Linked DNA regions of Caenorhabditis elegans. The protein of the gene in region 2 purifies or fractionates together with the protein of the main gene of each other region. This does not show direct contact. Each region holds a gene or a part of one and is shown on either strand. Other genes may lie near its edges.

Region 1 (4,006 bases), on a different chromosome or scaffold from region 2:
TCGAAAAAAGAGAATAAAATGAATAAAAACGAAACTTTGTTAGAGGGCGGAGACACACCGCAATGCCGCGGCACGCAGTTTTGCAACTTCACCGCACAGTTTTATTTTACGAGTTTTTAGCATTTTTTCCAGCAAAATTTGATTATTTGCCAGATTTCCTGATAAAATTAACGCGAAATTGTAGAAAAGCAGTTAAAATACAACCGTGCGGCAGTGTTGCGAATTCTAAGGGTTTATTTCGAGTAATAAATCTGAAAAACCTCTTGCTGGAGAAGCTTGGCGGCCTTTTCAGGCTTCAAATCCTCATGGATTTGATCCAAATCCTTTCCGGGACGTTTACGTGTCTTGTTCGAAATCGTGTGCTTCCTCTGTCCACCGCTCGGCATTTTTTGCTGAAATACTACTTTTGTTAAGCTTTGAATCTAGACAAAACAGCTGAAAAAGATAATTTCAGGCTCAAAAACCCTTATTTTAGTTGAAAATTTAAAGTTTCCGCGAGTAGATTTCGAAAATTTTTATTTTTTTGGGCATAGGGGAGGGAAAATGAAAATAAAAAGATACACGGGGCGCCCGATCTCGCCCAGCTTCTACTGCTGCTGAAAATTACAAATAAAAAAGATCGAACTTTCAGAGTAATGATCACCTATAAACAACTAAGCGTATAGTCATCAAGTATAGGGAGATATAATAACAAAGACAAATTATAGGGCGCGTGAAAACACAAAAAACTTGGGTGAGAGATGGGGAAGGGCACGAAACAGACAGCTAATTTACAATAACAGTGTAGACGGTTTTTGGTGGAAAAAGGAAGAAAAAAATAAAAGAAATAGACACATGAAAAATGACGGGAAAGAGATCTGTTCAGGCTTGTTGTGGAACTCCGATTAGGCCTTGTGGTGTCTCATCGCCTAGTCGAGAAGTTGATCCGGAGCTATGGAACAGCGAAAGCGAAGATCCAAGACCAAACATATGTCCACAGATCAATGGAGCAATCTGGTTCCAGTTGTCTCCGAAAAACTGCTTTTTGATCTTGAAAAACGTGGCGGCGGTCAGCAGTGCGTCGGATCCAGCTTGATGGCGAACTCCTTGTCGTTTCACGTCCAGCTGATCGGCGACCTCTTGAAGTCCTCCTTTCAGCTTTGCAGACGCGCAATTTGGAGTTCGGAGCAGGATTTTGATGTCGAAGCTGGTTGGGAAGAGAGTTTTGTGGCACATGAAGAACGTTGACTCTTCCTTAGGCAGATCTCCAAGTGTGATGCTTTTCAACAAATATCCAAAGTCGTAGCCGGAAGAGAACGTGAGCCATGTGATCCGTGGATCAGTGATGAGGCCTGACGTCGTCAAAAGTTCTCCGAATACTGCTGTCGGTATTCCATTGTTCTGGAAGAAAGAAATTATTATTAAAATATTGGAAAATCAATATTAAAAAAACCTGCAGCAATGTGAAGTCTATTCCGGCTTGCCGGAGCATTTCGACACTCTCATGCGAGAACATGTCTTCAGCGAAGGAGAAATTGAAATTGAACTGCCAAACATCGCCAGTCGGTGGTAGCTCTCCTTTGTCATTGACCATTGCAAAGCCCACTTGTATTAATTTCAGCATATTCACATTACAGAACACTTGCTGATAATTGAAATCTTCCTTGCTTCGAAATGTGCCCAACGGTGTCGCCACAACTCCGGGAAATTCTGTGTCCATTGCCACGTAGGGATAATCCTGAAAAAAAACCGATTTTTTAAAAATATTCAAACGATCGGCTGTACCTCGACGAATCCTCGAATCCTCGCGAATTCCTCCTCCACGTTTGACATATATACGTTGTGAATCTTGACTTCTGGTGCTCCACTTGCTCCACCTGCTCCACCTGCTCCACCACTGCTACTAGAAGCCATTTTTATGATATCTGGAACTAGAATTTTCGTTTTAGAGTGAACGCTTTTATTTTCGATTTTTTTAAACGAATTTATGGGACAGAAATCGAAAATAGCTTATAAAATAAATAAAATAATTTTTCCGCAAACTTTTAAAGCAGAAAAACGGGAGAAAAAGTCAGTTTGCAAAAGTTTTGAAGCGCAAAAGAAGTTCTTGAACGATCGATTTTGGATCGGCATTAAAGGCGCATGGAGTTTCCCAGCGGTGTGGGTCTCGCAGCGAACGGGAGAGAACTGCAAACTGGCTAGCTGCCAAGTGAGTTTGTTTTACGTGAAACTGTCGAGAAAACATCGTTTTAGTGAATTAAAATGTGTTTTTAATGAATTTTTCACTTATTTTCTTGATTTTTACCCTAAAAACATGAATTTTGTGCGTTAAAATGATGCAAATTCGAGTAAAATACGTATAGAATGCCTATTTTACTCATTTTACAAGATAATTCTTCAAAACACGAATTTAATTACTTTTTTGCAGGTAATAATGCTGAAGATCGCCGTCGCCCTTTGCCTTGTCGCTTCCGCTCTTTGTAAGTTGGAAAAATTAATAAATTCCCACACAAATTATTCAAATGTGTGGCTTGTATAAAAATAAGGCTCGATTTTTCGAATTTTAAGCGTAGATTGTTAACATTTAATACAAATAAAACAATAAATATTCCAGGCGCCAAGTGCGAGTCGCCAAAGTACTCGGCCTCGTCATTCTCCACTACCGACGGATTCTTCCACTACAAAACCACCTTCATCACCGAGTTCACACTTCAATGCAGCAACAACCCGAAGAATATCCAATACACTGCTGAAGTAAACGGTCGCCTTATCCCAGTCTCGATTTCCGACGAGACCGCCAAGTTCCAAGTCTCATGGACTCTTGAGCACAAGGACGCCGGAGCTCAAACCTTTAATATTAACATTTTCGACGAGGAGGGAGCCGCTCAATACGCCAAGAACCCTGTCACCAAGCCACTCTTCACCGTTCAACAAAGCCATGGGGTGAGAATTGCATCATTTTCACATAATTATCTTTAAAAATCATTTTTTGCAGGGTCTCGCCACGAAGTCTCCAATCTCTTCCGAGACTGTCGCCGTCATCATCGTCGTCATTGGCCTTTACTACGCCATTCGTCAAAAGACCGAACTTGTCCACTAAATATCATTGTTTTTATCCCCAAATTACTGGTCAACGCACGTTTGCGTGCTGGGTTTTTGTTCTTTTTGTTTTTATTTATATATACAAAATGTAATTTATTGATTTTTGCCCCTTTTTCCACCCCATTCGTGTATTTATAAGTTCAGTAGCCCCCAAATAGCCATAAATTGAAATTTAATTGCTAGACTGACGTAAAAAAAAGTTTAAAGAGTTGAGAGTGTAAATCCCCGGGAAACTTACTTTAGATAATTTTAAGACCCCCTTTAGGCCAAAATTTTCATTCAGGCAAAATGCTTTTGGCTCGATCCATAATCCGATGCTCGCGGAGCATCTGTTGTGCTCAATTCCAGACCCCATCAAGCTCACGATTCCTGCACACAAGTCGACAACTCCACGAGAAAGAGCCCACTCCGAAGAAGCCAGACGATCAAAAATGGAAAATGTTCAGAATGACAATGTCTGAGGAGCAAAAACTCGCAAAAACGGCGAAAATCGAGCAAATGAAGGCGGAAGAAGCGCCGAAAACGTTGTTCGCAAAAGTGAAATATTATTTTAAAAGATATTGGTATATCGCTGTGCCGGCTCACGCGGCATCGTGTACAGCATGGTTTATCGCATTGTATTTGGTGGTTAAAAGTGGAGTTGATGTGATTTCATTGCTCGAATGGCTTCATATGCCGGATGCTATCGTTGAAAAGGTCAAAAATACGCCCGAAACCGCCGGAGTTGTGGTGGTTTCGCTGATTTTGTACAAGGTTCGGAGGATTTTCAGATGTTTTTTCGAAAACTTTAATTAAATAACAATTTGTTTGGAAAAAACACAGATTTTCTCGGAAGAAACCCAATTTTTTTGTATAAAAAGCACGATTTTTTAGACAAAAACCATGTTTTGTAAAGAAATCAATTTTATTGAAAAAACTAATTTTT
Region 2 (4,688 bases):
CGTTCTCGTTCATCAACAATAATCGATATAAGCCCTTCAATTATCGAATCAATAACAGTATTCCGTTTGCAATCTAACATAGTTGACTTGAAAATTATTTTGTGTGCGACGTCAAAAAGTGCTATCGCTGCAGGCTCTGCTCTATATGTGACTTCGGTGAACACTCTTCTTATACGAGCTGTCAGAACATCCAACGGAACTTCTTCTGTAACATGATTGTCTTATAACGTTTATATATACTCACAAACAAACCAATCGTCAAAAGATTGAAGTCCTCTTCATTTAAATCCAGCTCCTTCTGTTCTTGTATGACTTCTTCATTAATTTCATCTTCTCCGTTTGCATCATCACTTTGTTTACTTACTGAGCTCTGAATAGGCTCATCGAAACTGTCGTTTTGAGGTTCGTTAGCTTTCGATGAAGCTTCTTGAGAATCAAAACTGTCTTCACACGCAGGTTCTTCAAAACTATCTTCATCGTTATCCTCTTCTACCATATCATCGAAAAGATTTCCGAGATGATCACCAGACTCCATCTCAAACATTTAGATTTGTGCGAAAACGGTTTTCAAGTAATTCAAGATATATAAGGGAGATATATAAACATCTTTAAAACAAATGTTCAACAACTTTTTTTTCAAATTTTTATGCTAAAATAAGATTAGGAAAAAATTACAAAACGAGTAACATTACAAATTACGATAAGCTGTCTACAGAAATGCACAGGGAATAACAAAAAGAACCGGTATAACAACCGGATTTGAGATAACTAAAGGTACATTTGTGAGGAGTTGAGTGTTGGGAATAGTACAAAACTGATTGGGCTAGTGAGATCCCTGCATATCTTGGTATGGATAGCTCATGACAGCCGGCTTTTGAAAATATTTTTCAAGTTTTGCTGCAAATTAAGGTTGAATATTATTAAATCATTCTTTGCAATATCTTACCAAGAATGTGCTTTCCATGAGGGAATTGTCTCAAAACGGGAATGTGTGGACGAACAGTTAGGATGAGTTCACGGCGCTGTTCTGATGTAACCTGATCGAACATTTTCTGAACAACGTAGTTGGCGTACTGATCTTTCATCATTTGGACAACAATCGGTACAGATCTGAATGAAATAATTATATCTACATTTTTCATGAATATACATACCCTTCCTGATGGTGACACGCAGCTCCTACGATCATGGACTTGTGATAAACTGCGCCTTGTTCCAAACATTTTTCGATAACGTTCGACGAGTACTTGTGGGTGGCAAACTCGAATAGATTGTTGGAGACACGAGTAACAATAACCATTCTATCCTCTTCACTTCCATGTTCAATGACGTGTTGAACCACATAGTTTCCGTACTGATTATTTGCAATTTCGTCGAAACGTTTATGAATTTGGCCGATAACAGGCTTCGTCTGCGAAGGACTGCAGTGTTCGAGACAACGTTGGACAACACGACAACCGTAGGGATCCACAGACATCTCGTAAATTGTGTTGCTGGATTCTAGAAGCGTATCGACAATGAATTGGACGTACTGTGGACTGACTTTCTCTATGGCCTTCTGAACCACGTGGTTTCCATTTTGATCTTTCATACAACGATGGATGACGTGTCGGATTTGAGAAAGAATTTTTATTTGAAGTGGCTCATTGATTTTTTCCAAAGCTTTCTGAAGAACACGGCAGGCATACATTTGAAACGCGTATTCTGGTACACGATCAATTATTGCATCGACGAGCCGAGCCCAATGCCTTTCTTCGCCATATTCGAAGAATTTCTGCACTACGTAGTTGCCGAAAATATCATCAACGAGCTCATCAGCATTGGAAACGACTTCATCAAATATAGAGTCCTTCTCGAATCTGTCCTTACTGGAAGCAAGTTCCTGTTGAATGAATCTCGAGCCAACTTGATCTTTGGCAAACTTCAACAGTGCTCCACGAATGTCTGATAATTTTAAATTCTTCATCATGGCTGGATTTGCACGATATCTAGTTAGAAGATCGTCGGTGGTTGTTGGTTCCCTGAAATATACAAATATTTAAACTATTTTTGAGTTTAGAAAAAAACCTGTAGGGATTTGAAAATATGCCTGTGGCAGACGGTTGAACCGGTACACGAATACTTTGAGAATGCGCTTGGTGCATTTGTAAATCATTATATGCTGTAAAAACGGAGAATTTCCATATTCGAAATATGTTTTTACTAACCTTGTGCTTGTAGCATTTGTGTCATTTGATTCGAAAACATATTAGAACCATTGTATTGATGATTCATGTAGTTGTTATTGATAGTACTCAAGACATGACCGACATTAGAGCTGATTGGAATATTTTCTTGAGCACAATAACACGATGGTGGAGTTCCGAACATGTGCAATGTATTCTGGCCAATTACTTTTCCTCCTTGATGCATGTAAGTGGCAAATTGAAACTCTGGTGTATCGGGAAGGCGTTCATTTTTTGGATTGGTAGAAATATGACGGCCATACGATCTCTGAAATCATTGTTTTATTGAAAATTTAATTGACAAACACTGCGGCAAATCTATCAGTGTGATTTATTGCATGAACATTGTATTTCTATTCAAAATAAAAAATAATTTCAATATTGCAATAAACAAGACTCACAATCGGAGATCCGCATACACTATCCACTATTTTCTGAGCACCGATGCTCCTCCCAAGAGATTCAATCGGAGAAGCTGAAGGATCAAATGTGCATGTATTCCCAATTGAAATCGGACGACTCATCAGGAACGCAGATTACCCCTAAAATAATTACTTTAGGTCAAGGAGGCATAGTTCAGCTTGAAAAAACAATTGCAACGCGTACTTTATTTATTTTTATTAATTAAAATAGTTGCACATGAGAATTTAGAACATTAAAATGAGAAAACAATGAAAAACAATCAAAAATCACTATTTAGAACAGGAGTTCCGTATTTATTCGGATAATTTTCGAACGAATACCGTAGTCGTGGTGTTCGTGGTGAAACCCATTTCTCCATTAAATGCATGTTCCTTTAAATTATTGAGGTTCCGCACGCACTTGAGAGTCCATGGAAAGGAGAACTGGTGAAAAACTTAATATACGAAAAGGTAATATGCTGAAAGGAGGCGTGGCATGTAGGAGAGTAGAAAAAACATTTTTTTCGACTTTTTGAAAAAATAGTAGGCTTGGATTATGTAGTTTCAATATGGTGTCGGGTACTGTATTTTCTGAAAACCCATGTGATTCGAGTTCGCGGCGAGACCTAATTCTTCAGGGACCTAATTTTATACGAATCCCAAGCTGACCTAGTGAAGACCCTGTGTAGATGTAACAGTAAATGTAAACATAGCATTTATATTAATCTCCGTTTTTCTGGAGATCAAATGCTAAGTAGATCAATTGAATATACTTGTGCTCTCAGAGATACCTGCTCCAAAGTCGATATTTCCTCACTCTCAACTCTTCAGAACTGGCAGAAAGTGTATGAATGAGTGTTGTTATGCATAGTATTGAATATTCTAAATTTATTTTCCATGTGCTTTGTGCTTAACATAGCTTGACCGTTTTGATTCTTTCTTTACAATGAAATGGATATACATCTTCATCTTTTTATTCTCGGGAGTCGAATGACCGTTTCAAAAACTTCAAAGTGTGTAGAGCATGCAAAAGCAAACAACGTGAAGATTCTCGACAAATTTAGTTTTTTTTTTTCTTCCCGACCGTCCGTTCGCCGGCCATCGTATCAAATTTCCTCCCACCTCTATTTCATTGTCATCTCCATTCCAACCCCTTTCTGACCTTTAACGAGAATTAGATTTTGTCTGTTTGTGTATATTTAATTTTGGAAAACAAAGCCTCACATCGAAAAAGGTTGCAGGCTGGCCGATCGTACGAGCGTATTGTGTGTGTGTACGAACATAGAGCGTCCGATTGCATAAGGTTCGTGTAAAGCAGCTTCCGGCCGTGGGAACAACACCATAGTTTGTGTGCCGAGAAGCGACGCCCCTTGTCTCCTCACAGTCCCATCTTTGTTCTTGCTTCGTAACTTGAACTCATCACGACCAAATAGAGTCTTTGACTAGGTGTACCCTTTGGTTGCCATGGTTAAAAGTCTTCATTATTTTATATTACCTTTAATTGGTAATGCCCTAATTCTAAATACACCACCTGAATATCAACCTGGATATGGTTATGTTGGACCAGCATGTGCTGTATTTGTAAGCATTCGTAGAAAACAATTTGAAAATATCTTCCAAATCTTTCAGGACAGTACCCTATTCCTTCATGGTGTTTCCAAGCGAAAGTTGAATGATCACGAACTACACATATTTAGTTCGTATCAGCATGATCTAAGTGCATTCAAAGAGTTTGTCATTCTATTCTCGATTGTTTTGAAAATTAAGCGTTTTACAGTTCATCATCTTCATTTGATTCTTTCGAAGCCTCGTTTCCTACAATTCCAAAATTCTGTGGAGGGTATGATGATTCTATTGAAGTGGTGTTGGATTCTTGTATTGTTCGAGTAAGTTTTTTTTTCCAATTGTGTATAGTTAGAACCATCTGGTTTTAATGTAAATCTTCAATATTACGGTATCAGGGGTCGACACGATCGGAAATTGATAGGTCAAAGACGCTTCGAGACCAATTACCGTATTCTTTTGTCAGAATCTATGAAATAGTCACTTCACTTTTTAATTA

What was found.
Region 1: the proteins of puf-8 (region 2) and ccf-1 purify together in Caenorhabditis elegans (affinity purification with western blotting, with the first as the bait; 2 studies listed by BioGRID). This does not show direct contact.

The regions. Positions count from the first base shown.
Region 1 is NC_003281.10:11,918,328-11,922,333, forward strand, and holds ccf-1 (CCR4-NOT transcription complex subunit 7), read right to left. Parts: upstream 1,911-4,006; 5' UTR 1,894-1,910; coding exon 1,765-1,893; intron 1,718-1,764; coding exon 1,433-1,717; intron 1,381-1,432; coding exon 862-1,380; 3' UTR 501-861; downstream 1-500. Other genes in the region: znf-593 (Zinc finger protein 593 homolog), read right to left, coding at 261-386; trap-4 (Translocon-associated protein subunit delta), read left to right, coding at 2,414-2,459, 2,594-2,922, 2,975-3,079; Y56A3A.22 (DUF1279 domain-containing protein), read left to right, coding at 3,370-3,834. UniProt on the Caenorhabditis elegans protein: Catalytic component of the CCR4-NOT complex which is one of the major cellular mRNA deadenylases and is linked to various cellular processes including bulk mRNA degradation, miRNA-mediated repression, translational repression during translational initiation and general transcription regulation.
Region 2 is NC_003280.10:7,295,481-7,300,168, forward strand, and holds puf-8 (PUM-HD domain-containing protein), read right to left. Parts: upstream 2,768-4,688; 5' UTR 2,750-2,767; coding exon 2,627-2,749; intron 2,494-2,626; coding exon 2,208-2,493; intron 2,162-2,207; coding exon 2,068-2,161; intron 2,022-2,067; coding exon 1,155-2,021; intron 1,111-1,154; coding exon 947-1,110; intron 898-946; coding exon 824-897; 3' UTR 635-823; downstream 1-634. Other genes in the region: C30G12.6 (uncharacterized protein), read right to left, coding at 1-205, 253-535; C30G12.1 (uncharacterized protein), read left to right, coding at 4,091-4,207, 4,256-4,356, 4,404-4,512.